4 linked regions of the Mytilus edulis genome follow. The protein of the gene in region 3 purifies or fractionates together with the protein of the main gene of each other region. This does not show direct contact. Links are inferred from orthologs where the notes say so. Each region holds a gene or a part of one and is shown on either strand. Other genes may lie near its edges.

Region 1 (7,706 bases), on a different chromosome or scaffold from region 3:
TGGCCTGTTATAGATTACACAAGGAACACATGATATTCTCCAAACAGGAGGATATAGTGTCTTTCACAATAGAGCACATGTTGCCTGCTGAATCAAGAATTACTTACCCGATACCAGGAACACTGGACCCTCCTAACAGAAGCATAGTGTCTTTAACAATAGAAGCTGAATGGCCTGCTTTAGAAGATGGGATTGAGATAAACTTACCCTATTCCAGGCACACTAGAGCCTCCAAACAGAAGCATAGTATCTTTGACAATAGAAGCTGAATGGCCTGCTGTAGGTGGTGGATGTTCTCTAGAAATACTGGTCACTAGGTACCATCTGTTGACCTCTGGTTTGTACATATGTAATTCATAGAAAAATCCTGCAGCCTGGAAAAGGTGAAACATCAAACATGTCAAAATCTAAATCTTTTTTTACTTTTCATTTAATGACAAAAAATTGGTATTTGATTTAATACAAATAAACCAACACTGAAGCCTGAATTTACACATTTACTGTCATAAATTAAAATATTTACTATTGAAAATCAGCTTTCAAACCAGATACTATGGATTCAATTATTTTCACCGTTGTCAATTTTCGTGGATCAAGGAAAACTTGCACGTTTGTGGATACTTAATTTTGTGGTTTTGCTGAAGTCTACATACATGCCAATCATTCCAATAGGAAAATTGTCATTCATCTAATTTCGTGGTTCACCTATACCCACAAAAATTAGTATCCAACGAATAATAATGAATCCATAGTACATCGGTTTTCCTCATTGTTGAAGGCCTGACTGAGACATATATACATTTTAGTTGTTAATTTCTGTGTCAAATGGTATCTTGTCATGCTTTGTGGAGAGTTGTGTCATTACCTCAGTCTAAACATATACATCAAGCACATGCAAATTTTATTTTTGAACCAAAATAAAAAAAAAATCTGAACATGCTATAAGACAAATATTCATACTACAAGTCAAGACTGGCCGACCATTAATACATTCCATAAAGAAAGAATTACCAACAATAGATTATTTTCATATGAATAGTTTTAAGTTTGCACAGCAATCTGTAGCTTTATAAATAGCTTACACACAACAAAGTATGCTTTTTTGTATTTCCTGATTTTTTTCGAATTCGTTATAACCCACCTGGTGTAAGGGATAAGGAGTAGGATGACTCCATCCACCAAATAATACCAAGCTGTCCTTATATACCACCATACTGGAACAGGCTTTAGGTGATGGATAGGTTCCTGCAACAAAAACATTTGTTATATGATTAACAAATGATTAAAGATGTTCTCTTTACTCCTTGGCTAAAAATGTAGGAAATCTTCAATGATAAATGTTATATTTATAGTTGGAAAAATAAAGTCAATAGTGTAGGCCCCTTTTTATTAATCCTTGCAGTTCAACATTATATTAATAATTACTGTTAGTTGCTCATTTGTAGTTCAATCATAATTTTTTCATTTAAACTTATTTTCAATATCAAATAAAACAACATTAACAAAAAAACCATACTTTGACTTTATAGCATTGAGAAAATCAAACATACTATTCTAATTTCCCCATAATCAATGTAACCATGTGACACTGCTACACGACCCCATAGGCCAAAACAGCTTGTAAAATCCAAACTTCTACATAAAATTACCCATTGCTAATGGCCTAATCCATTCTCTCCTTGCCAGGTCAAACCTCCAGAGGTCATTAAAGGTCGTGTTCATTGATGTACATCCACCAAATACATACAATGACTTGTCATAATAACAAGCACAATGGGAGTATCTTTCTGTTACCCGTATGATATCGATCTCTGGTGCAATTTTTGTCCATTTCACTTTACTCTCATATACACAGTTTTGAAAGGTCTGTCTTAGTTGTCTTGTCACACCTTTGATATAAAAAGATTATTGTTGACAACATGGTTAGTAAAATTGAAAATGGAAATGGGGAAACCCTATAATTGCTTACATCTAATTCATTTGAACTTTGGTGGATAACTGTCTCATTGGCAATCATACCACATCTCCTTTATTTCAATATTGACATGATTGATAAATCATCATTTTTGTTATTTTAATCTATTTAATAATTTATGGCAATACCTGGCACATCAAAACACTGATTATACAGTTAAATAGAATGTGATCTACATTGTACATGTTGTAACTCAAAAAAACTTTCTTAAGGATTGTCATGATTGTTTACATATTCATCATTGGTTGGGTATTAAAATAACAACAAAGATTCCAATGAATTCAAAATCAATATGAAGAAACATTATATTGTCGCCCTTCGCTTTATTTTATTATCTTCTATACACCTTATCCCTATTTCAGACCTGTCAACCAAACTTGATAATAAATTCAAAAGTATTACAAAATTCTTCATGTGAAAAATTATTAGGTGTTAAAATCGACAACACACTTAACTGGAAAAATCAAATTGACCAAGTTTGTGCTAATAAGCCTACTATATCATCCAGAACATACCTTCTTTCTAAAATAAAGAATTTTTTAGATATAAATGCAAGGAAAACATATTACAATGGGTATATTCTTCCCTTAATTGACTACTGCTGTATTATTTGGGGTGAATGTAAAAATGAACGGATAACAAGAATTTTAAAACTCCAAAAAAGGGCAGCAAGATTAATTCTAGATGCAGATTTACCCCCCTCAGCCCCCTTATTTAGAAAACTTGGGTGGATGACAGCTGACAATAGAAAAAAATACCACAAATATTTACTTCTATATAAATGTATGCGTATGGAAGCACCAATGTACCTAGTTCAAAAGTTTAAACTGAAATCAGATAATAATCCTTACTCCTTAAGCATGTTAAGAGGTGTACATGTCACTCAAGGTAATCGGATAGTTCCTAAGCCAAAAGCTGAACTATTTAAGAAATCCTTTGCTTATTCTGGATCAGTTTTATGGAATGGACTACCACACACAATGCGTAAAGCTCAAAACACTTTTACTTTTAAGCAAAGTATCAAGAAGTACCTAACACAACCCTGATAAGAAATGTTTGCTACAATGTATTTGTATATTTTTTAATTTTTCATTTTCAAAATTTGATTTTTTGACTACATGTATACATCTTAAACAGCATTATATCTTATGTTAATAACAATACATTGAACTACAAGAGTGTAAATTAACTATGTGTAAATATCTGTTTTGATTGTATTGTAATTTGTACATGTATGTGAGGGCCTCAGGGAAGATTAGTTTATTGTAACTAACTGAGTTTACCCTCTTTAAATAAAGAATTTCTTATTATTATTATTATTATTATTATTTGGAGATCTGCACCTCTTGATCCGAGCATCTGCTATGCTTAAACAATTGAAGTCATACAACAATCACTTTTCCATTGTAGGGTCAGAAATTTTATGATCTTTGACAGTTTTACATCTGAGGATGACCTTTGCAGCTCTAGGGGTATGTTGTTCATTATCCATTTGATATTTTGTTAGTCTAAAAAGTTGTCTGTGATTTTTTTTCTTCTCATACATGTATAATCATGATAATTCTCAATATTAGAATAAGATTGATTGATTGCTTATAATCCATTGGCAAATTATTTCATGCACATCTAGGACTAGTCCAAATAATTATGACGTCTTGAAAGGCTATAATAATTTTTTTCTTTGACGCGTCGAAGTAAGGCGTCAAAGAAAAAAATTAGAATAGCCTTTCAAGATGTCATAATTATTTGGACTAGTCTAGGACATGCACAAATTAACAATAAATAATATAGGAAGGTTGTTTAACACCTTATCACTGTTTGCCTGCCATTACTGGACTGTTGTGGACATCACTGAAATTTATGCTGAATTTCTCTTAAAATTCAGACGTCATAATACAAAATATCTGACAGATTTTCAAATAGTGATAAGGTATATAGAGATTAGAAGCTGTCTGGATGAAGGTTCAGGGCTATTGCATCTCTGGATCTATTCATTATAATACCAATGTAAATATAAGTCTGAAAAATAACAGTTTCAGAAATATAAAAAGGCTTTCATTAAGTATGAGGAAAATCGCAATCGAAGTCAGGTTTTATAAATTAAGGAAATAATCTTTTAGTTTTATCAAGGATTTGTATAGTAAGAAGGATTGGAATCTCGTGGGCTTTTGCATAGACTATACCAATCCTTGGTTTTATTCATGTTATTTTACCTGCAGCTAACCGGTACCAACGACGACAGACAAGCATGCATGACTTGACATCACGATATGGTGAAACCTTGGATAAAATAAACTCTAATATTTCTTCAGGCAGATCATCAATATTCACATTAGATGAACAAGTGTCGAAATCCATTTCCATTTCCAAACATATGTAAGGAATTTGGCTAGCTGTACGAATGCCAAACCTTGTAACATAAGATGCATGAAAAGTAACGAAAAGCTCCGAATGAAAAAAAAAAGAAATTTCGGACTTAACAAAACCCTGACAAAAGAAGAACCGACTGTAAAAGTGCGATTTGTTATTTGAATATTGAGGGTCAACTATTGATGGGAGATACTCGAGATACATTAAAAAAATATATTTCATAACAAATGATTCAGTTTAGTCAAACTTCAAGACATGATTTAGAAGAATAAACATAAAACAAAACAAAAATATATTTATCACCGGAAATATGATATTTAATTTGTTCCCGCGTGATTTTCCTTCGATACTTCTCGCGAGTTTACCCAAAATGACTTAAATCCTATTTCGACCTGTGCAAAAATTATCTTGATGTATTGTAGGTGTAAGTCTTATAACTGTATCACCCATTGCTTTGATTAATGATTAATCCAATTCTTATTCCAAAATAAAAATACAGTTGGTAGGGTAGATTGTCATGATAAAAATACCTAAAGGCATGTGTAGGATTTAATAATGTCCTCCATGAAAAAATGGCCACAGACCACAATTAATTCCTCTATCAGTTCTTTATAACCTTTTGCATCATTAAAAAAATTGCACCATGCACTTTTGTCCAATTTTTTGTGTGTGTAATGTATTGTCCTAGTCCAAATATATATCCAAAATTCAGAAAGATTGAAGCAATCACTTTTACAAATTTAGCCAATACACATCCATACCCCTATTGACAAGTCAAGAGAAGTTCCGAAAACTGTAAATATCACCTTTTTGCACTTGACCTAATCACTCATTCCATATAAAAATCAGTTAAAATACAACCTCCAAAAATTTATTTGACCTCTCTTCTTTCATTTCCACCCAAAAAGATTTAAGGAATGAGTGAGGAAAGGAAAGAAAAAAAATTAAGGAAAAATACACTCTAATTAAAAGGAACTATATTCGTGGACAACGAAAAGCGGGGTCATTAATTGTGGTCTTGGGCCAAATGTCCACTGGACACATTTTGACAATATTTACTTATTTAAATGTGTCCTGGACACAATTTCCTATGAAAACATGTCCTTAGGTATGAAAAAGTGTCCATGCACATGGACATTATTCACTACCATAATATTGTCCAGGTGGACATTTTTTTCACAGGACATTGTGTCCGCCAGGGCACTTTTTGATATGATTAAAGTATTAAATGATTCCATTGCCTTGTTATTACTGGACGCATTTTAACTTTAATTATGAACTTGAATTAATTGTTACTTTGACATAAAAATTGTCTCATTGGCACTCATACCATCCTTATCTTCATATCTATTTTTTTTAATATAATTATATACATGTTAGATGCTGTTCTATTTTATTTTCCTTTGAAGACACAATTAAATAACATTCACTACGAAAATTTGTTCAGCAGATGGACCATATTTCATAACTGTTGCTGTAAAATGCTGTCCACTTAAATGACAATATTTTATGGCAATGGACATTATTTATTATGCCCCACCTACGATAGTAGAGGGGCATTATGTTTTCTGGTCTGTGCGTCCGTTCCTTCGTCCGTCTGTCCGTCCGTCCGTCTGTCCCACTTCAGGTTAAAGTTTTTGGTCGAGGTAGTTTTTGATAAAGTTGAAGTCCAATCAACTTCAAACTTGGTACACATGTTCCCTATGATATGATCTTTCTAATTTTAATGCCAAATTAGAGATTTTACCCCAATTTCACGGTCCACTGAACATAGAAAATGATAGTGCGAGTGGGGCATTCGTGTACTGAGGACACATTCTTGTTTTCTATTGCCTTCTTATCTGACATAATAAATATTACAAAGTTCTTCATATTTGATTTTACACTTCCTTCTTATTGTTATTCTTTCATTGTCATAACCATTTGTTGGGAATTTCTTAGAACTTAAATTTCTCTATATTCACTTCCATCCATTATTTATTTGTTTACAATAGACACTAGACACTAGACAATAGACAATATTTTATTCGCACAAACACATTTACATTAAATGGTTATGGCATACAAAATTAAGACAATAAACTGACAATAGTTAAATTGTATATTGATCAATATACAAATTACATTTGTATATTGATCAATTTCTCACCAATCCTTCATATTTTAATTAAAATTTAAGTATAATAAAACTTTGTAATGACCTTTGTATTACTTCCCTTAGAGGACACAATTTAATAGCAACTACTATGAAAATTTGTCCTGTGAGTGGACACTATTTCATGTTGTTAGCAGTAAAAATTGTCCTTTTGAGGGACACCATTCCATGGCAATGGACATTATTAAATACCAAATTTCAATGAAAAAGTGTCCATGTGGACACTTTTTCATAGGACACAATTATGTCTTACATATGCTCTGAAAGGAAGTAAGAAAAACCAGTTGTAAATAATTTTAATTGTATATTCACAGGCACTTGTTTCTGTCAATGTGGGGTTTACTATCCATACCAGTACAAAGATTTTTTGTACTGGTATGGATAGTAAACCCCACATTGACAGAAACAAGTGCCTGTGTGTATATTTTTGCGAACGTTGTAAATGTAATTTGTAAATAGCCAAGAGAAAACTTTCTGTATTGCCCGACACTGTGTAAAGTTTTCGTGCAGAACCATTAACATTCAGCTTTGAATCTGATTCCTTACCTGGAAGAAGAAAAATGACAGACAATGAACCATCATTTTAGTTATTAATTTGAAATTGCTCTTCTTCAGCTAACAGTACTAGTTTGTAAAGAGACAATGATCAACAGGATAATAAATTTTTCATGAAACAAAGGCTTGAGATTTGACCAAAATTGTTAAGAAGGAAGGAAAATGCCGCAATAAGCATGAACATGTGCAAGTCTCACGTTAATCATGTTAATTGGGGGTGGGTCTTTTCAAAGTCAAACACCACTGCACACTGTTGAACACCAACCACTACATTGTACTAAAAACACTGATATTATACAATAAAATCATAAAATCATGATTAATCGCAATCACCAATAAGCAGATGTGCTATTATGCCTATATATATATATATACAGATTGAATTAAAAAAGCTTGACACGCGTCGGTGAATGAATTAAAAAAGCTTGACACGCATCAGTGATAAACAGATTAATCAACTAAACAAAGTCAACATCAAAAACTCTTTAGAAAAATAAATAGTCTATGTAACTTTCTACATGTAAACATAAAATTACCAAATTAAGGAAAAACAATAATTAACAGTAACAAAATGTGCTATATAAAGATGAATTAATATAGCTTGACACATGCAGTGATAAATAGATTAAACAGATCAATCAGAATAAACAA
Region 2 (7,370 bases), on a different chromosome or scaffold from region 3:
TAATATGAAAGATGAAGCCTTGAACTTTACAGGAAAAATACTCCCACTGCTGGGAAAAATCTTTTAAGAAAGTATCAGTTCATTATGTCAAGCCATTATTACAGCATTTTTTCAACTAAAATAGATTTTTTTGCTAAATGATAGCATCAAAGGCATAAACCTTGCTACTTAAAAGAAGCAAAAAATTCATTTTCTTTCAATTTTACAAATGAAAAAATATTATTTAAACCTATAGATGTGTTTAAAATTTTGGTAAAATTACAAAATCACAATTTGTGACAAAACTTCGAATTTGCTACTCAAATTAGTGATTTAAAAATCACTTATTTCAGTAAGTCCCCTGACTGATGATAGCACAGCATTTAAACAATTCGTGACCTTGATTTTATACCTCAGAGCATGCTTCTTGAAAATTATATGCTGTGGGTCAATTGATACATTTAGGTTTCTCAGAATTGTACATCATATACATGTAACTAAAGTTAACATGGTAAATAAAAAAGGTTACCTGGTCCAGAAACAGCAAACACATTGCCAAACATAGATTCTCTTTCTTCATCTTTAATCTTTGGTAGACTACTCTTAGCTCTGTCTAAACCACCAGCCTAAAAATACAATTTTATAGACATTTGTAGTGAATATTTTTGCTCATAGTTTCTTAGCTAATAATTGTTTATACCCTAGTATTTGGAGTATTTTCACAACCCACTTTATCTTAATGTTACCATACTGATTGGGGTTTTTTTCAATAAAGAAAATTGTAAAAATGTAAATATGGTAAACATTCCTTTTTTATATTTTAGACATCTGCATTTAAATATGAAAGATACAAATATGACATTGCTTTAAGACATGTAAGAGGAAAAATGACAGTATGTCTGGTTTTCATTATATATGAGCTGTGTCCTTATGCAATGGAACTATACATGTACATATATAACTCCATATATAAGCTAAGACTTTAATTGGTTTTGGAGCATTCAAATATGAATTAAAAGATAAATTTTGGTTCCTTTTGTAGGGTTCTCATAACAACTCAATTTTAAATATTTACAGCCTTTCTGTAGAGATTTTTCAACTGTTAACAGATGTATTGGTATTCATTGGCATAAGGTCAATTTCTATCTGATATTATATTTAATAGTCACGATAGTGTCATTATGATAAAGAAATGAAGGGCAAAAAAAACAACATTGAAAAGCAATGAATAAATTATTCTTAAGCATGTTAAGTTTTTGCACAGAAACAACAGGAAATGGTATTTTCAAACCAACTTAGGACCACACCATATACAATGTATGCACGGCAGAATTGAAAAAATATCACAATTAAACTTAGCCTTCATTTTGATCATTTTGTCATCAGTAACAAAATATTCCAATTTGAAAGCCAGTGAGTTCTAAAGTTATGGCATAGAATCAACATAATGTACATTTTCTAATACACCTGCTCAATACATGTACATGTATATCATTATATTGAGTCCATTCCCAAAAAAAAACTAAGTCGTTTAGACAACTTCCTGAATCGCAAAAAAAAACAAAGGTCATCAGCATGAATGAGCTGTGTGGGAAAAAAAAGTTTGGAAAGCAAACATTTGAACATTTTTATAGTTTATGAAGCAATTTTTACAAGACAAATGAAAGTCATTAATTGCTTTGTTTGATGTGTTTACAATGGTTTTGTCAGTTCTACGAAAAGTTTTAAGCACAATATATTAATTGAACAAGGCCCCAGATAGCTTCAACTGTCAACTGGTGTGAAAAAGTTGGTGTAATTTTGGGGCAATGACCTAGGTATCATGGATATAATTCCTGAAAGGCAAAAGTGAATCAACATCATCAAAAGACATACATGTATGTCTGGAGTTCTACCTAAATTATGTTTCGAGATAAGATTGTACCGTCTAACATGTCTAAGCTTGTGTATGCTAGAAATATGATTTTTTCCCTATTTTATACTCCAAAAATTAAAGAAGCATAAATAATTGTAGATGGTAATTTTTTTCATAAATTTCCTGTTTACAAAAATATTAATTTTTCGAGAAGAACTAAGGATTTTCTTATCCCATGGCCATGCATTTATTCGCTTAGCCATATTTGGCACAACTTTTTGGAATTTTTGGTCCTCAATGCTCAACTTTGTACTTGTTTGGCTTTATAACTATTGATCTGAGCATCACTGATGAGTCTTATGTAGACAATATGCACATCTGGCGTATTAAATTATAAGCATGGTACCTTTGATAACTCTTGGATATTTCTATCAACATGATCAACGACCTGAAAGACCTTCAACATCAAAGTTAAGTGGTTGATAAAACCCTTCCCAGTTTTTCGTTAGCTTTCAAAATTTTCAGAAACATTATGAAGGCATCTGATTTCCTGCAAATTTGTATTGAAGGAGCAGATGATTTCTTGCAAATGTGTATCTGATTACCGAAAAGGATGATCATGACATGGGGATAAATGGGAAAATCCTGTTATAATAACCTTTTGGATCTCATCTAGAAGCAACTGCCTCAATTAAGTATAAAAAACAAGACATACTATAAAATCACTATTTTTAACTTGGTATCATCATGAATATATATGTAATAGTTGCCACTGGACATTACACTGTTACAGTCATTAAGAATACAACATTAATTCAATCTCCTGGTAAAAACCTGACAAGTTAAATCTGTTATGAGAATTCTAGAAAATAGATAGTTTAAAGACCTTTCAAATGCGGTCATTCATCAATGGTTAGTGGTTGTATATGTAAACTGTCATGACTGTAGAACCAAGAAACCGGCAAATGACTTCGAGTGGCTACATGGTGCATTTAGGATTCATGAATAACACATTTCTTAGTCGATCTTTGTAGAACTTCAATTGTTTTGTGGTGACTGTTTAACATATGTAGTATTCAGCCAATTCTTAAATAAATACTTACCATTTTGCAATGAAATATTGGATTTGTAAAATTATCATGTGATAATCGATGTCTTGAGAGAAAACGACTTCCGGTTTGATAAAAATGCTGAAGCGGTTTTGTAATAATATAAAACTTTATCGGCGAATAACGAATACCGATCCGGATAAATTAATTCAGTTGTAAATTTATAACAATTTCAAAGTAATCCCTTTAAAATATCAATGCTTATGAAATTACTTCAAAGTGGCATTAAATATGTGATATAAAATATTAAGAAAAAGTTTTTTTTCTCTCAATCTAATGAAAAAGTGAAATAATATGATCAGAGACATATAATACAATTGTATTATATGTCTCTGATATGATTCGCTTTTAAGTTCGCCGGATTTTGACTGACTTCAATTGTCATAATGATAATCAGCTTAGAAACATCGTTGATAGATTATTCGTCCTCCTTTCCCGAATGTTACCTACCGAATTAGAGTGATTTCTAGGTTTTTTAGACGAGGAACACATGTATATTGACTTTATACTAACATGACCGGCATAACGGGTGCCACATGTGAGCAGGATCTGTTTGGTACCATCCCGGAGCACTTGAATGATTGAGTCGATCCACAAAAACTTATTCGTAATTGATTTAATAAAGTTTCTAGTTGATTGGTTTATCATGAGACAAAAGCTGTTGTCAATTACATAAACAATTTATAACTTATATAATCCAATTATTTAAGCATTGAATATTCAACTGTAGAGAAGTCAATTATCTTTGAAGTTATAATAATTTAATCCACGAATACGAATACGAATATTTTATTCTCATAAACATATAACACGTTAAAAATAAAAAAGGGAAAATAAATAATTCCCATTTTGGCCCAGTTTTGATATTAACTTTTTACATGAAGAATATGTACATTAATTTGTACAACAGGGACATTAGATACAAAAATAATCATCAATTCTATAAAATTCGTCAGATTCTTTTCATTTTATTTGTAAGAGAGTTTTGATACTCAAATATAGTTACTTCAATTTGTATAAAACAGATTTTCTCCACATTATTTGGTACGTTTACTTCTATAACAGTCTTATCTAAAGAGTATTGACACTCTTTGTTGCATGCGGTTCTTTTATTTCTTTACTTCAAGAGTACGGTCTAGTACTATGAGTAACATTTATAATACCACAAAGTATTACTTTTCTTGTTATAGCTCTTTTTACTAAAGAGTATCAATATTGCTCTCATTTTTTAAGAGTAGCAATACTCAATAAAGCGGTACCTACCTCCAACGTTAGAAAACTCCGGTGATTTTTTTTTCTAGAACCATTTTTTAGCATCTAGACTAGAGTTTTTTTTCTGACAGAGTATCGATACTCTTTGAAACTGTTTTCTACTTTAAGAGATTCGAAATTCTTCAAAACAGGTTTCTACAATGAACATAATGATAGTATTGATACTTTTGGAAATAGGTTTCTAAATTGAGAGAATCAATATGCTTTTAAAAGATTTTCTACCTTGAGAGTATTGGTACTCTTTTAAACAGTTATCCACCTCGAGAGTATCGATACTCTTTTAAATAAGTTTTATACCATGAGTATATTGAGAGTATCGATACTCTTTGAAAAGGTATCCACCTCGAGAGTATCGATACTCTTTTAAACAGCTTTCTACTTTGAGAGTATCAATACTCTTTTAAATAGGTTTCTACCATGAGCATATTGAGAGTATCGATACTCATTTAATACATGTTTCTACCTTGAGTATGATGAGAGTATCGATACTCTTGTAACACATGTTTCTACCTTGAGTATGATGAGAGTATCGATACTCATATCTATTTTTCGTTTTTAAAAAACATGGAAAGATTTGAAAAAATAAGGACTAATATAAGACTATCTGAGGTATGTATTGCTTCCTTCGATCCACAGATACGAATGGAGTACACTAAAAAGTCACAAAAGTTGAACTTTGAACATTAAATCTTTTAAAGCATGACAGTGTATAGCATCTTGATGGATTGAGTGAAGTTCTCAAGAAAACATGCAACCAAAATGTAATAACCCCTGGCGTGAGACGGACAACAACACATTCAAATGTATCACTTCTAAGTGGTAAAAACAAGAATATAAATGAAGTTCATATTTTTTATAACCTAATAACATGAACCCCATCAAAAACAGGCGGTATCTCAGGTGCTCCGGAAGGATACGCAGATCTATTCCACATGTGGCACCTGTCGTGTTGCTCGGGTTAAAAGGGTCTCAATGACTATCAAAACAATCGAATATATTTTTATATTATCTTCAATATCCATCTCATCCTCATCTCCTATTAGGAATATAATAATAAGTAGTAAGGGCCATTGACAAAAAAAGAAAGATTATACTTTCATAGAACATTTTATAAAGATAAAGATGAATAACCTTTTATGCTTGAAAATTCAAACTTTCTCAAATGTATTATAACTAGATCAACTATGCCACACGCTCCAATAGTTAACCTATATTCTGTATAATTCCACGTTTTATGCATGCAAAATATTAGAAAAAAAAAACCAAATAAATTCATTGTTGTATATAAGTACATATTTTATTGCTTGATCATTATGAACGCTATTTTGAAATAAAGATTAAATATTATATCTTGTATTTTGTGTGTAAACATAACAATTTATAAATCATGTTTGCTTTGATCATGTTGATATTAATAAGTTAATCTGATAGGATTATTGTGTATAATTTAACGAAGACCAATCAAATAACATGATAAAAACAAAAACAAACAAAACGAAGAGAAGAGAAATGAAATATTATACATCGTTATACAATATTGTATCTGTTTGACAACTGCACGTTAGAAATAATTGCCGATAGTAATCGTTAAGCTCTGCCGTCAATCCAAGTACGATTGATGCCAGATTTTGATATTTTACTTTTAAGATGTGTTCTCAACAATATTTTCTGCAATGTTTTATGAATAAAAAAAGTTTCACAACACATATGTTCGAAGATGGATGGATAATAAAGTTCCTCAAGACTGATTTCCATATCTGGATTAAAAGGTCCATCAATACTGATTTCTTCAGATCGTGTGTACGTGTCCCTCATCATCAATTATTGACAATAATCTGAAAAAAATAAATGTTATTTTTTTGACAAAATGTTATCAAAATACATGAAATATTTGCAGATGTTGCGTTCTGCAATGACTTGCATTGTATATTACTGTCTGAGAAACTTAAGAAACCGCTTAACAGTAAATAAAGGCAACAGTAGTATACCGCTGTTCAAAACTCATAAATCCATGGACAAAAAACAAAATCGGGATAACAAACTAAAACAGAGGGAAACGCATTAAATATAAGAGGAGAACAACGACATAACACTAAAATGTAACACACATAGACAAAATCCCACGAGAATATAAAACTGTCTAAAATTGAATCTTTATCTATATATCAATTTGAATTAAAAAAAAATAGAACGGTGCATAATTACAATGCATTTAGGAACATGAAATTCAAGAACCCGATCATGTACCCGATATATATGCAATTTTTTGACCATCACAACCACTCTTTCAGAGGTCTGTTGAAAGTCAACTTTCTGGTCTATCTACTATAGTTTTCAAGAGTTGGTTTAAATTTTCCGACCTATACATGACGTGCTTACTCATATAACATATACCTATTGTATATTTTTTAAAGATTTTCTCGTCCTCAGTATGCACGTAATAATTGCCACTGGACGTTAAGCATGCCTCACTATATAAACAGATGTACGTGTTATTCTAATGGATAGTATTAATTGGTTAGCAGATCATTTTGTTTTAGTTTTTGAAATTATTCTGGTAAAAACAAATAAAAAATGTACAAAATTGAGCTTGACGACATATTCAAAAGAAGAAATGATTCGTATTTTCTATCATGTCAATATTTAATTTATATTTAAATGTGTTTACAGATACACATGTACGAATACACAAGCATGCACTATTTTCTTTTTTCGCCTTCTTGATTTTATTCTAAGCTTTGGTGGGTATTGACTTAACTTAGATCGAGAATGGACGAAAAAGGCAATTACTACTTATTTCACCTTTTAAATAAAAACAATCAATTTCAAACAGAATACAAAGTGTGATATCATATTAGTATTCATGTTATATGTCATGCATGTATACAGGCCGTTGTTTTGTTCATTTTATTTACATGTACAACCAACCCATTGAGATTGTGTATGTATTTTTTATAACTTATATTGTTATTGCATTAAAATATTGACAAATATTCCCTTTTGTATTTTGTATTGATTTGATAAGAACACCTATTTTGTCATAAACACTGTGGAATTGGTCATATGATGCAACGCATAGATGACTTACCTCCGGTGTTTCCTGTTCGCCCACTAGAAGCTGTCTTACATCGGATGGCACGGGATCAGTGCCATCC
Region 3 (7,196 bases):
CAGATCGATCACTTCATTAGTTTCCAAGAATGAGCTCTGTAGGCAACCGTTTGACAGTGGATGTATATTCTGTGAATCGGAAGCATCGATGAACGGGCATAAATTCTCATCTACCACGTTGTCGGATCGTGTTGTCGAATTCATATCAAATGCTAAATCGGCGTCTATGATATCGGCTACGGGTTCTGCGTCCATATCGGCGAGTTGTATATACAAAATTTCTTATATAATAGAAAAGATTTATAGGAAATAACGCAATACAGTGTTTTTTTATGTTCATTTTAAATATATAACATGTTGTATAATCATTCTTATTTATAAGATATCTATATATATAAAATTCTGATTTGTAGAAAGTAACGCAATACAGTTGTGATCATTTTTTTGGTGTTTCTTCTAAATAGAAAATATGTGGTATAATTTGTGCTTTCTTAACTTGATATATTTCTGATTTATAGAAGGTAACGCAATATAAGGAAATGGCTTATTTCATATTTTTAATCACATACTAAAAAACTTTTCAATACAAGAACAGTAAAAATACCCAAGCATTAACAATATCACGAAGTGGCAACACCTAGCCGTAAGGCAGCAATGATTGTGACAGATATTCTTTTGATGAGACTGCCTTCAGATCAGACATGAATACTTTCATTTATGCTTGTCTTTCGAGAGGAGTATCAGTGGTATTCATGTCAGTTATGAAGCGGTCCGGGCCTTGGTATTGCACTCCCGATGAGCATACAGTTCGCCGAGAGATAGTGAACAAAATGATGAAACGCATAGCTCTTGAAAATCATTTTGTACATTATTTCAAGCCAACTAATGTTTATAGGGTGGAATACGAAGCTCGTGACGGGATACATTTCACTGAAGAGGGTTACCGTGCCTTCTTAGTAGCTTTGAGGAAGTCGGTCAGTTGGTTTATTAACAAAGTTAGGAAATGAACTGAACTATTTTCTCAATGACTCCACGTGCAATGTATTTTGTTTAAGAAGAGGGTTTTTTTTAACATCGAATGACTAAAATAATCCAAAAGTTCTTACATATTTTATAATTTACAAATTAGAATTTGCCAGAAGAAAGCTTTTTTTAACAGGAAAACTCAAATTAACTTTATTAAAATATCTTTTTTTAATAATTTTTTATTTTAAATAATCAAAAATTATTGGTGAAACATTGAACATTATTACCCTTTGACAGAAAACTAACATAGGATGTACATATTGTATATAGTTGTAAATATTTATTTGTGTTCTATTTTTCATTATTATAATTATTGGTGTTGGTAATGCAGCCTTGGTATACCAAGACAGTCACAAGCCTGTTTAATGCAGAGTGTCCATACTGTAATATAATTTCATTATCTCTTAATGATTAATTATGTAATGGGCACGTGTCAGTAAACAACAACCCAATTAACAATCTAACAGAAGTGTGAGGTAATGATTATTTTGTTTATTGGAACTAATTAACTCATTATCACTTTCAAATTATTCAATGTATGAAAATAAATAAAAGTAGCAATAAAAAAAACGTAAATACTAATTTTAGAAGAATATTAATTGAGTATTATTTTATTATTTTTAATTCTGATTTTTTAGTAATTTAAATTAAGTAAATTAAATACATTTTAAATGAAATAAGAAATAAATGAAATATAATAAACTAGGTGAAAGATTGTCTTCTTTGAAATTAAATATTTTATTTTATTTTTCTTGTACCATGTTTCACTCTCTATTAATAATATAAAAAACCCAATTTCGCATTTGTATAGCTTATAATAAAAGGTATGTATGAAAATTACTTACCTTTCTAACGCCTTGGCCATGTCATACTTGTTGTCTGTAAAGCAACAGTCCTTACAAAGGAACTTTAGAGACACATCTGACCAGGCCAATAACAATGCATCATCCATTGGGACACAAGCACTGTGAACCCAACGATCACAACAACTGCATTGAATGGTGCAATCAACACATTCTTCATCACATTGAACACACGGATATAAAGCCATTTTGAAAATGGAAGACAGCACACATGTATTCATGGCTTTTTATACAAAATTAAAGTGACTTGTAAAAACATTTATATTTGCCAATGAAAATCTTATATTTAGTTTTGAGAAAATTTTATTAGAATAAACATAAAAATCATCCATTCAGAAGCTTTGTTTTTATTAAAACAATCAATTATAATAATTTTTTGATTAGATTTGAATTGAATATGTGAAAATTCTTAATTACATTTTATTTAATGTTGAGTAAATTGTTATGAAAAGTAATTAGTGATTGGTGTAATTGCATTGCTTTGATGTACTGGTTAAATTTTCAAATCCTTTCTGAAAAACAATTATTAGACAATTCTCTGTATATACAGTAAATTATTTAATACTATATTTTCATAGCGTTTTCCTTTGAAGGCATATATGCAATCTTTCTTTTCTTCATTTCTTACGTTTTCCTTGGTCGCCATCTTGGAAGTACACACCGATATCCATAATTTTATAATGACCAATATTAACTTACCTGCAACTTTTTTTTTATTTTTAGGTTATAAAATACACTTCTATTATAATTTTATTCAATAATATATGTTTAAAAGTCACTTAAATGTGTTAATATTGATATTTGAAGAGTTATTCGGTAATTACATGAGTTATTCGGATAATAACACTGTTATCCGGTAATTCGAGGTACCGCTGTTGAACAGGAAATTAGTACAGATAAATGTGTCACACAAGTCTAATGCAGAATAATTAAGAGTCAAATAAGAATTAATGGAATTCAACAGCTAAATTAAATCTGTCTCTCACAAATTGTTACTCACAAATGCTTAAAATGGGCAAAATATAGGTTTTCGGTCGAAAACTCAACACTTTGACAGCCATGTTGAATTTTCATGTGATAATACTCGTTCGGATGTCTCTTGAGTTACCAACTAAATATTATGTAAATTCAAAGAATTCCGAACATGAAACGTAGCCGCGGATCGGATAAGTACACATACGAAAAATAAAGAATCGGCTCAAAAACACGTTCGCCCCCTTACGTGGTCGCCCCACTAATGTTGTAACGACTCGGCCCTATTTGATATTCTGTTTCCTAATAGACAGATAACGTAACGGTACCCAAATTGCACCTATTAAGCCAAAATAGTATAAATAATCTTACAAGATTTCCTAGAGACCGTAAACAATTTGTATTTTTATGATTTGATACCACGCACATCTTTCAACATAGGTAAAACTATTTAGATATGCACAAAACGTTCACAGTATTTATCAACAGGTGAAGTGTTTACTGAAAAATCAAAATGTACTGAAACGTCACCATGCGACGTCATCAAAACGTCATCTTTTTAAAATGATCAAATACAATATGTTACAAGTCTCCAGTTATAAAAAAAAATAAAGAGTAAGCATGGACTAACATCCAGTTGTTCAAAATATTTGAAGAAATTAAACAAAAGCTCTGTTATTAGAATTTTTACAGTGCGAATTTAAGCATGGATGCAATTTGGATACTCCTCATTTCAGAATTATTGATGGTTTGGGGGTCAGTTTAGACCAATTTTTCTATGATTCCATATGGATTAACAATCAAATTGGTGTACCTATATAATAAAGAAGGATACGGCTACAAAATAAACACAGAATGGATTTTTTTTTCTTTATCATAAAAAAACGTAGGTGAAAAAATGGTCAAAATAGGTGCAATTTGGGTACCGTCATGTTAGATTTATTTCGGTAAAATACCAACCGTATTAACTTTAATAAAAAAATAGAGTGGAACTTTACACATATTTTAATTGTTAATTAGAACGTATCAATTTAATTTGTCAGTTGCGGAACAATTATCAGTTACAAATTGAATGTAATTTAATTTGACAGTCTGGATTCTTCTATACTGACCAGTTGTCAGTTAACCTGTTTTCTTTGTTAGTACTAGAACACACCCGTGATATCGCGGGTCCGTGACTGAATTAAAGTATATAACTATGCGCAAGCATTATTTTAGTATTAGTATTGTCATCTGATAAAGTCATGCCGATTATAAGATACACAGTTTTCTCTGCTTTCAAATTTTTCTGTTTGAACCCGTCGAACTGTAACTTATTTTTTTGGTAATATTAATTATTTGGAAAACAAAAGGTCCTGGAATGGAGTATTTTTTAATCAACAGCATTGTCCTATATTAGTTATAAATAAAGTTGAATTCTTTGATTCGCTGTTTTACGTCATGCCCGCTAACAAATTGAAAACTGTACCTATATACGGCTTATTTTTAGTCCAGTATTCGTATTGTTATCTTAGAAAGTCTTACTAAATAAAATAGTACAATAGGTAACAATTCGACAATTTAGTAGTGTCAACCCTGTGATCATGACCCGTGTATATAGCATATCAATCCTGAATACACCGTTTGTTGGTGCGCCTGTCAGATGCGGAACGTACAGATAAGGTAATAGGTAACAGGTGAATATACTATTGGTATCGGTATCGGACTCGACCCGGAACTTCTTAATTATTGGCAATATTAATTACGTGGAAAACAAAAGGGCCTGGAGTGGTGTAATTTTTAATCTACACCTTAGTACTATATTAGTTATATATAAAGTTGAATTCTTTGATTCGTCGTTTTTACGTGATGACGGCTGACAAATTGGACCTCGTAATTTTAGTATTATAGATACCTCGATTTCTATACATTTTTTTTTATGGATAGTGATTTTGGTCACATGTTCATTTTTTAGGGGCATTTCTGTTGTTTATGCACTTTCTTTTCAATTTACTCACTGAACAGCTAAATATCTGGGCATTCACTACAAGCGAACTGAAAATGGTCAAAACATACAGACAACATAATAGCTAATGGCAACAAATTTTAGGGCTTCTTGAAAAGAAACTTAAAAACACCATGTCAGAACATCACTGAAACTCAGGCATATCTAACACTTGTCCAACATAAGTTACCTGTACCCTTGTGTTGCCCAAGGGACGAAGAACTAATATTGTAAGTCTATCTTTACTAACTTCCAGCTATTTTTCCTATTCTTTTACCACTGTCTCAAACACCATGAACACGGTAAAAGCAGTACTCAAAACAACCACCCTCATATTATTTTTGGCTAATTGTGTCAAGCTAGATTTAATTGTCAACTGCAAGACTATAAGCTCAAACAGAAACATCAAAGTAAATAAAGAGGCACCAGACAAATCTTGGTCAGTAACAATATCAAACCAAGAGACATGTAAATCAAATATACACACAACATCAATGATTATACTTACAAGAAAAACTAAAACTATCAAATATGATAGACTGGTATTGACATACCTATGTAGCATTCTCTTAACAAACTTGTATGCACTAGAGTCAAACCCTGGTCCACCAAAAATATCCACGTGGATCCTGCAATAAAGCCTGCACTTGGAAACAAAAAGCAGTATGCTGTGACAGCTGTGATCAGGGTACCATATAAATTGTCAAGGTATCGACAATAAAATGTATAAAATACTTGACAAAAGCAACCTATCATGGGAATGTATAAACTATGGTATGCCAAACTTTTCAGCCAATTTTTTTAATAGCACCATACTCACTGGGGTAAAGCTGATGACCGTAACTGCATTCACGGTCATCCCAAGATGTCGGATGAAAAATTAGGTCAGTTTCTGTATTGTCTATTAAAGTGTTTCTATATCATTTTCTTTACAAATCATACATTGAAACGATGAAAATTAATAAAAGAATCACTCGGAAATCACTAATTTCTTCCGAGAAATGTGCATGAAACGGGAAATTCGATTTGAAAAAATCTTGAAGATGACCGTAAATCATAATCAAAATATTTTCAAGATGACCGTAACATATAACAAGGATGACCGTAATTTGTAAAGACTGACTGGTAATTTATATAGAACGACCGTAACTTTTATAGGATGACCGTCAATTCTAAGAAATATCCGTATTTGTATTGAAAGCTTTTTGTTGAGTTTGTCGATCGCAATAGGGGCTCGGTTGGCGGATATAAATATGTTAAACTATAATATAATTGGCCGTATTTGGGATTTATGACAATGATAGTAATTTTTGCATATTTCTCGTAAACAATGAAATATTTATTGATAACGACGTTAAAATTTTAACACAAATTGACAGCGATACGACGAAAATTTGAAGAAACATGAATGTGTCCCTGGTACACAGATGCCTCATCTACACTATCATTTTCTATGTTAAGTGGACTGTGAAAATGGGATAAAACTGTTATTTGGCATTAGAATTAAAAAGATCATACCATAGGGAAAATGTGTACTAAGTTTCAAGTTGATTTAACTTGAAGCTAGACAAACAGACAAACAAACAGACGAACGGACGAACGTACGCCCAGACCAGAAAAACATTATGCCAATTAATGGAGCATGAAAAACATTAATAATACATATGGATATTCGGTAATCGAGCCCATGTGTATGGTTCCAGAGCAAGCAGATTAAAATCTTAATTTGTCTTGAAATATGCAGGCGGAAACACTCTTGACATAGAACAAAAGAATCGAAGCTCTTTGTTAGAGAAGGCGATAAATGTTTACTGTAATGTTTACTATAGTGACAAAATTTTTAAAAGTTAATAGAAACAAATACAACGACAATTTTCTTCTTAATTACGAAGTGGTTTTTTAAAAAAAACACCATTTGCATAAGTTTTCAATTTATCTATTACATACTAATGCAAAACACTAAGATATCAAGTCGACGACATGGGTATCTGTAAGTTGGATGTAGAAAATGCTTAACCTCCGATTTATTTAATTTTTTTTAACGAGGGACGGAGAACATATCAATCTTTTAGTTCAGAAGTTTCGTGTCTGCCCTTTCATTATGTGAATCAAGAAAAAATTCCCAAAATAGGTAACGATTGTATCGAAAAGAGAAAATCAAGTGCACCTTTTTATGTTAGGGCATGTTTGAGGTGTATATTTTGTCTTTAAAACGTACAAACCAAAAGTATTTGATATATCATCTCGCTTCAGATTCTATCATTTTTATATATCAAAGCTACAGGTTGACTTTATAACGTAAAACATGACATTACGAAAAGATGAAAATAGAATATATGGGTCAAGTGAAATACCTATCTAATGAATCACAAAAACAGTGTGTTCGAATAGCTATTTTTTCTAAAAGTTCT
Region 4 (7,881 bases), on a different chromosome or scaffold from region 3:
CTAGAAATTTAAAAGTAGTTGATATCATTATAACCTCAAGGTATCCTTCTTCTATCAGTATTGTGACTGAATGGTTATATTCATTTTCAGTAGTGGATCCAGGGTGGAGGTGCATGGGTTGGACCTCCCCCTTTTTTGGACGATCAATGCATTTGAATGGGGCGATATTAATATAGTTGGAACTCCCCTTTTCAAAATGGCTGGATCCAACCCTGATTTTTATAGCTCCCCTCTGGCATTAACTTTTCAGGAGTGAAAAAAATATATGTTAAATCTAGGATAAGGTTTAGAAATTTAACCAATGTTAAAGTAAGGCATAGTAAGGAATGGGTTAGCATGGTTAGACCTCAAGATAGTTAAAAGATTCATGTAACTTATAAGTATGCCAAGGCTCTATGTTGGGGGTCTCATTGGGGGGGGGGAATCCTGCTTACTGCATTGTCAGATTCCTGTATCCTGCTTACACTATGTACGTATGCAATTCTCATTTTTTTGTAATTTCTCATGTCCTGCTAGACTTTATCACAATAATTTGACTTTCACATGTCACACTTACAAAAAAATCGTCAATCCTGCGTCACGCTTAGACCCAAATGAGACCCACTATGTAAAAGACTGTACTTTAACCTATAACGGTTTACTTTTACAAATTATGACTTGCATGTATAGTTGTCTCATTTGCAGTCATACCATGGCCACATCTTCTTATATCTACATACAATATACCGGTAATAAAACTTGTTAAAAAAAAATTAAAAGTAAATCAAATTTCTAAAATACTTACTTTTATTAACAACAAGAAAATTTGGCTCTCTTTTTTTATTCAACTCTCCAATTCCACCCAGCAAAAACCCAGTACAGGTATCCTGTAAAAAAATATCTGATTAGAGGCTCTGGACAAAATTACATGAAGCAGCTTAAATAACATTGAATACATTAAACATTGTACATGTACATTGTATTTTCTACAACCAGTTGTCATCAAGCTTTCATGAGCATGATGAGTGTAACAAAACATGGAGATGGAGTTTAAGTTCCAGTTTGTGATATAAAGTTCCAGTTATGGTCAGAAGTCTAGTTAGCCTTAATGTGGTATTGGCCTGTTGTTTCAGGGGCGAATCCAGCCATTTTAAAAAGGGGTTCCCAACCAAGAGTAAAGGGGGGGGGGGGGGGGGTTTCCAGCTATATGTTCTCATTCAAATGCATTGATCACCCAAAAAAAAGGGGTGTTCCAACTCCCGGAACCCCCCTCGATCCGCCAATGTGTTTTGCTATCACTATGTCATCAATAATAGGTCTTGGACTTAACTGTCTTTACAGGTTAAAAAAAGATCCTCATATGATATATTGATATTGGGTAACCTGGACAAACTCACCTCAGATACAATTGGGCAGATTTTTATATCTGTACAAAGATTTGTAATAAGTCAATTTAGTATAGTACATGTAGTAGTAGCTATTTTTAGAAACAAATGATTGTTTTAATAAAACTATATCATGTATATCTTAAAAAGCGAAGAAAAGAAATTTACATTGAAAATGACTTCATATATTAAATTCCTAATGACCATGACAATCATGACAATAGGAAAAAGAATAAAAAATTTCCGTAATTAAGTTGATTTTTTTACCAGACATAAGATCACATAACATGGATGTTGAGTTTTTTTTACAATAAATGTTTATATACTTTTTTAAAAAAAATCTATTCTGTTTGGATAATAATGTAATAATTCAATAGACAACTTTCGAGTTTGATGCATTTCCGTCAAAAAGTCTGGTTTTAGTGAACATCATTTGTGCGTTTAGGGGCATCGTCACTTCCATTCCAATGTTGAGCAAGTGGTTGAGAAACTATAATGTTATACTGTATGAATGATTAGGCAAAATAAATTATCATTATAATTTATAGAAAATCAGCACTGCTGTCATTTGGGAATTGTAATTAATAAAATTGAGAATGGAAATGGGGAATGTGCCAAAGAGACAACAACCCGACCATAGAAAAAAACAACAGCAGAAGGTCACCAACAGGTCTTCAATGTAGCGAGAAATTCCCGCATACTTACAAAACAAATATTATTTGTAGTTTATCCTGAACAATGACAATCACTGAGACGCTTGATGAAGGTTAATAGTGCAGGGATACAGGCGACCCCCTCTATCTGGTAAATGACGTCATAAAAGCGTGCATAATTGACTAGTTTTTTCTGGTGACAGATGAACTCGAAATTGGTCTATTATGACATCATAAACATGATAAAGTATTCTAAATTTTTGCTTTAACTTCTTCCCCTTTCACAGGTACAAAGTAACACGTCCAAATAATAATGATGTCTTGAAAAGCTATTAAATTTTTAGATATGATGCCTACCTGGTCATAATGACTTGGACTAACTAACTTAACACCAATTTGTATCACTAAATGCACTAGGTGACAATCTGTGACTGTGAGGCTCTTATATTTTATTTAGTCAGCATATATATACATAATAACAGACAAAAACATGAGCTCTGGTGAGCTCTTTGACTGACTATCACATAAAAAATCATGCAGCAACATGCAAATATTAACAAATAAAAATGAAAAAGCATGCAAATATATATAATGAAAGCAAAATTAAACATCATACAGAAAGGGCAACAATTACAAAACTAACAGTCCAAAATAATACTTTGATACTGTAAGATTAAGAGAGCATTACATATTTTGGCAGAGATAAATATACAGATATGCCATGGGTAACCATAATATCCAGATGGGGTTGGACATGGGCTACTCTATTTGGATATTAAGTAAGGAGAGTTTTTTGCGAACTGTATACTACCTCGCGGAACTACTTGTGTAATATTAAATGTTTTTATATACATAAAATAAAGTTTCTAATCTTACTTCATCCCCAATTACTGCAATTAATCTTCCTTTTTGAGCAGAATGAGCCATTTTCACATCATATGATACGATTTTTGCAAGGAGTGAATACTATCAAAACCAATTCCCGGATCAGGTTATGTTACTTAGTCCGATATATTGTTACGCATTGGGTGATAACATCGTGACTATAGCTCAAGGCATAGATATAATTATGTCGGCTATGTCTGCTCAGGCAGGAACAGATATATAGTTAGATTAACTGTTCCCAGCAACACAGTCAAACACACAAGATTAATTATAAAATAAATTTCATATTGAAATCTGTGGTTGCTTCATTCAGTACTGATACTATTATAATAATAACAGGGGCGGATGCAGGAATTTTCGAAAGGGGGGGGGGGGGTGCTAACCCAGGGCAAAGGCAGTGGCGGATCCAGAAATTTTCATAAGTGGGGGCCCATTGACTGACCTAAGAGGGGCCCCGCTCCAGTCACGCTTCAATGATTCCCTATATAAGCAACAAAATTTTTTCTCAAAAAGGGGGGGGGGGGGCCGGGCCCCCTGGCCCCCCCTCTAAATCCGCCTCTGAAAGGGGGGTGCAGGGGGTGCAAAACATATGTCCCGATACAAATGCATTGATCGGCAAAAATAAAGGGGGGTGCGCACCCCCGGAACCCCCCCCCCTGGATCCGCCACTGATAATAAACTGTGTTATAGTAGTCTCAGTCCAGTACAAGAAACCATATAGAAACGCAATTGTTACAAATGCCTCATGTTTACAAGTATTTCTGTTAGTTCTATCAGAGACATATAATACATAGTCTATGAGGTATACTGTAAATAACAAGCATATATTTAATAAAGGTTATTTTAAAATATGACTAATCTGTAGTAAACACCAAGTTGCTTATTAAAAGGGAACCCCCTACTTGTACTTAGTGCAGATGAGTCAAACTCCTAAATTATTTAAAATATATTTTAAAAAACTTATTTTTAATATTATAGATTCTGTGTCCAGCCAGCAAGGCTCAGCAAGGGACGGTGCTAGACTCGGAATTTGAAATTACTCTTATGGGTCTCTGCGGGCCGTTAACGGGGTACCCAATCATATCAAAGTCAAGAGTTAAATTGAAATTAGTTATTGCAGATTATGTTTTTCTTTCGATTCTTCAATTTTTATAACTTATATTTATAAAATGCAAATAGTACATTGGAATCCTCATTATTCATTATCCAAATTGATTTGTTATAAGTATGTAGTAAATATTGAAAGTTTGGGCATGATTTTAATATATAGTGCATCAATTCCTCTCTTTTTAATAAATGGATGTCACATTTAAATAAAAAATTTAACCTCAACCTCACTCGAGGTGCACCTGAGACAAATTCGATTTTGTCGGAGAGAACCCTGGTATCTGCCAGATTCACTATTTGCAACTTTGTGAGCAGATATTCTTAATCTAGTAATACATTTCCTTTGCTCAAAAAGTCGCATTATCAACAAATAATTTTCAAAACCAAAGTCGTTTTTTTTTTCAAAGTTTTATTTAGAGTCGATATTCAATAAACTACATAACACAAGCTCTAGTGAGCTTTTCAAATCGACTTAATAACAAAATACAATACACACACACACACACACAATACAATACACACATACAAAAGTCATTAAAACAACACAATTTTAAACATATAATGCATAGTAAAATACCATAAATGACATATATAAGTTAAAAGCATATAGTACACTTAAAACATAGCACAAGTTAATAATAAGATTGCACAAATCATATAATCACACAAAAAATAAAAGTAAAAATAAAACAGGCATAAACACTACAATTATGCATGCACTGCACTGGCATGAGCTGTTACTTGGATCCCATGTTTGTACCAATTTTTTGAATTGGTCCAAAGATGTTTCCATTCGACAATGGTTCGGTAGCTCATTCCAGATTTGTGTAGCATTATAGCGAAACGATCTTAAGCCATACTTAGTAGTTCGAACTCTTGGGAGTACTGCTGTTTCCTGTGATCTTAAATCATACTTGTTAATTTTTATATCAATCAAATCATGAAGGTATGTATATCTAGCTGTTTTTCAACAATGCAGTATAGTATCCCTTAACAATCAGACCCCAGTGTAATTTAAATGATCTTAAATGTTGAATATTTTTCTGGTATGTGGTTTTATATGCCTGACATATTTTCCCTTAAAATATTAATTGATCCATACCAAGAGTTTTTTTTTTTTTTTGTTACAAATAGCAAGGACGTATGTTAGTTATACGTCCTTGCAAATAGCAAGTTTAGAACAATCATATGCGCCCTTTAACAAAGGAAATGATGCAAATACCTTAAAAACGATGCAAATATCTTAAAACATGTTTGACTATGTCATAATGCAGAGGAAAACGTCATAATTAAGACAAAACTGCAAAGTTTGTACTTTTTCTATACCTAAAATATATTTTCAGAATTTAGTATGAAGTTTTTCACAAAGTATCCTAGAGTAGATTGTATCCACCGATAAGTTTTCTTTTTTATAAATGTGCAGTAAAGGGATTAAAATATCCCCAAATTTCACACCCATATAATAGTATAGGCTTTGTTGTAAGGTCAAAATGATGTATTGCATTTTTTAGTAAAATTATACATAAAATATTTCATTAATTTTGCGGATGCACGGTTTCCGTAAAATTTGGGTCTTTCTCCGTATACCGACAATGAATTTATTGTTGCCATCTGGTTTCCTTTTTGTTTCTCCTTTATTGCCTTTGCTCATAGGAAAAAATAATTTAAGCCAGATTGATAAACTATAGGTGGCGTTGTGTTTGACAGGTGTCGATGAAGACGAAGCGATTTGTTGGTCAATATTTACGAAAACAGTAAACAAACTGGTAGCGAATATTTTTAAAGAAATAGGTCAATCCACAAAGTAGTTTGTACACTTGTTCCAATATCTTCTAAAAAAGAAACAGTCCCCCTTGACCCACATTAATTTACACTTGTTAAAAAGTTATATTTTCATATCTGATGATCTTGTCCAATGATGAAAATTTCCAACAGGGATAGGCTGATATACAAATTGTTTTGACATTCATTATACGATTTGGATCTCCTGTAGTTGGTGAATACCAGTATTCATCAATGAGACATCTACCCAATGACAAAAGCAACCAATGTACGTACAGTCTACATCTTGATCGCTTCTCACAACCAAATGAATACAGATGTCCACATTACAAATGTATATGTCAAGCTCTAAATTGTCCCAAGTCTATGAAAGTTACATTGTCGAAATAAGCATCTGGTGCAGGAAAATTTGTACCGTTAATGTTTTTATAAATAAAAGATGACAGAGAAATGAGATATTTAACCAAAGATAATCATTGGTGTTATTAATTTAGATTTCTGATTTATTTTCAGGTACTCAAAGTGTATGTACCACCTGTACACAGATATGCCACTTATTGAAGGGATAGGAGATGAAGTTACTGTTGTTTTTACCATTTTTCTAATATTTCTACTTCTCTGTATTGCATGGTTTTCAACAAATATTCAAGAACTACCTTTCTTTAGTATCATTGTAATAGACTTCACAAGAAGACAGAATAGAAATGCGCAACAGACTAACAGTGTTGAAGCAAGTGATAGTTCTGCTGTAAGTTCTACCTCTAGTGAGGAATCAACAGGGGACACATCCATTCAGGAGGAGACTGACAATGCCAGTAGGTCCTCCTCTGTTGATAGTGTAAACGAACAAGTGACAGGAGCAGTAAGTCAAATTCCAGTTCAAACAGATGATGTATCAAAGACAAAAGACAAAAAAGAATCATCTAACGAAAATGTGATTACAGAAGAATCAGGGGAAGATAGGGTGTTAGAGGACAGAAATGAAGATAGTGATGACTTGCCTACAACAGAAACTGAACTGAGACGTAGAAGGGTTGCATTCTTTTCTGATAAAAATCAAGTTATAGAGACAAAAAAAGAAAATAAAAATCATGAATCAGAGACCATTGTTATAAATGACAGAAACCCATCAAATTCATCAAACAATGAACTTCCATCAAATTTACAAAACAATGAATCCAATAAAACAACTGAGTCTGTTAAAAATGAAACTGAAAATTTGAACAGTGCTGAAATAAATGTTTCCTCTGAATCGGAAACTAATTCTAGTCAGAGTGATAGAGTTCGGATACGACTGAAATACCTAAATGACACTCAGAGAAATGTTGAAGCATCTTTAGAGGATACAATTGAACAGTTTAGAAGGTATGACATATATATAATACACATATTTACACTTGTATGCATATTTGTCTGCCATTACTTTAAATCACACAAGTTGTTGTAAAATATGACATCACAAGTTTTTTAACCAATTTAGATCATAATTAAAAAGTGACTCACTGTTACTTGACATCAAAAGGTTATTTAGAGCAGATCTAAAGTTATTTGTAGATAAAATTCAGCTTAATATCAAAAGTGCAAATATGTTAACACCCTTGTTGCTTACTCTGTTTATAATTTTCAATACATACTTTATATAGTACTGTAATCAACTTTGAAGAACTGAAAATTATCCAAAATAATGTACATGTCACTGTAGAACAGTTTGTATTTCTAATTTATTGAACAATTTAAACTCCAGCTGAATTGTAGTTCTATATAAGACTTTTAGCATAATCATTATGATTGCAAATTTATGAGAGCACTCTCATCAATAGACCAAATGACTCATCAATTAACAAATATAGGTCACTATATGGCCTTCAACAATGAGTAAAACTCATTCCACAGTCAGCTATCACACTTGTAAAGGTTCTCAAATGACAAATGTAAAAAAAAATGAAAAGAGAATACTAATAGCCTAATTCATGTACAAACATGTAACACAGCAACATATAAAACCTCATTCATTACTTCAAATGACAAATGTAAAAAAAAATGAAAAGAGAATACTAACAGCCTAATTCATGTACAAACATGTAACACAG

Evidence for each region. Proteins that work in one complex are often made in the same cells at the same time.
Region 1: the proteins of renin receptor-like (region 3) and coiled-coil domain-containing protein 115-like purify together in Homo sapiens (affinity purification with mass spectrometry; 3 studies listed by BioGRID and IntAct, counting the BioPlex papers as one, with this or other methods). This does not show direct contact. The link is inferred for Mytilus edulis from reciprocal best matches to the Homo sapiens genes ATP6AP2 and VMA22.
Region 2: the proteins of renin receptor-like (region 3) and V-type proton ATPase catalytic subunit A purify together in Homo sapiens (co-immunoprecipitation; 3 studies listed by BioGRID and IntAct, with this or other methods). This does not show direct contact. The link is inferred for Mytilus edulis from reciprocal best matches to the Homo sapiens genes ATP6AP2 and ATP6V1A.
Region 4: the proteins of renin receptor-like (region 3) and V-type proton ATPase subunit F-like purify together in Homo sapiens (affinity purification with mass spectrometry; 3 studies listed by BioGRID and IntAct, counting the BioPlex papers as one, with this or other methods). This does not show direct contact. The link is inferred for Mytilus edulis from reciprocal best matches to the Homo sapiens genes ATP6AP2 and ATP6V1F.

Annotation. Positions count from the first base shown.
Region 1 is NC_092356.1:55,207,639-55,215,344, forward strand, and holds the start of coiled-coil domain-containing protein 115-like, read left to right. Parts: upstream 1-4,690; 5' UTR 4,691-4,763; exon of another isoform or gene 4,764-4,769; intron 4,770-7,706. Other genes in the region: F-box only protein 42-like, read right to left, coding at 208-374, 1,142-1,245, 1,650-1,889, 4,189-4,339. UniProt on the Homo sapiens protein: Accessory component of the proton-transporting vacuolar (V)-ATPase protein pump involved in intracellular iron homeostasis.
Region 2 is NC_092348.1:77,322,721-77,330,090, forward strand, and holds the start of V-type proton ATPase catalytic subunit A, read right to left. Parts: upstream 3,017-7,370; 5' UTR 2,941-3,016; coding exon 2,938-2,940; intron 606-2,937; coding exon 509-605; intron 1-508. Other genes in the region: uncharacterized protein, read right to left, coding at 6,033-6,050, 7,304-7,370. UniProt on the Homo sapiens protein: Catalytic subunit of the V1 complex of vacuolar(H+)-ATPase (V-ATPase), a multisubunit enzyme composed of a peripheral complex (V1) that hydrolyzes ATP and a membrane integral complex (V0) that translocates protons.
Region 3 is NC_092346.1:95,455,056-95,462,251, reverse strand, and holds the start of renin receptor-like, read right to left. Parts: upstream 3,004-7,196; 5' UTR 2,891-3,003; coding exon 2,830-2,890; intron 1-2,829. UniProt on the Homo sapiens protein: Multifunctional protein which functions as a renin, prorenin cellular receptor and is involved in the assembly of the lysosomal proton-transporting V-type ATPase (V-ATPase) and the acidification of the endo-lysosomal system.
Region 4 is NC_092345.1:53,515,535-53,523,415, forward strand, and holds the start of V-type proton ATPase subunit F-like, read right to left. Parts: upstream 3,017-7,881; 5' UTR 2,945-3,016; coding exon 2,894-2,944; intron 867-2,893; coding exon 785-866; intron 1-784. Other genes in the region: transmembrane and ubiquitin-like domain-containing protein 1, read left to right, coding at 6,318-7,156. UniProt on the Homo sapiens protein: Subunit of the V1 complex of vacuolar(H+)-ATPase (V-ATPase), a multisubunit enzyme composed of a peripheral complex (V1) that hydrolyzes ATP and a membrane integral complex (V0) that translocates protons.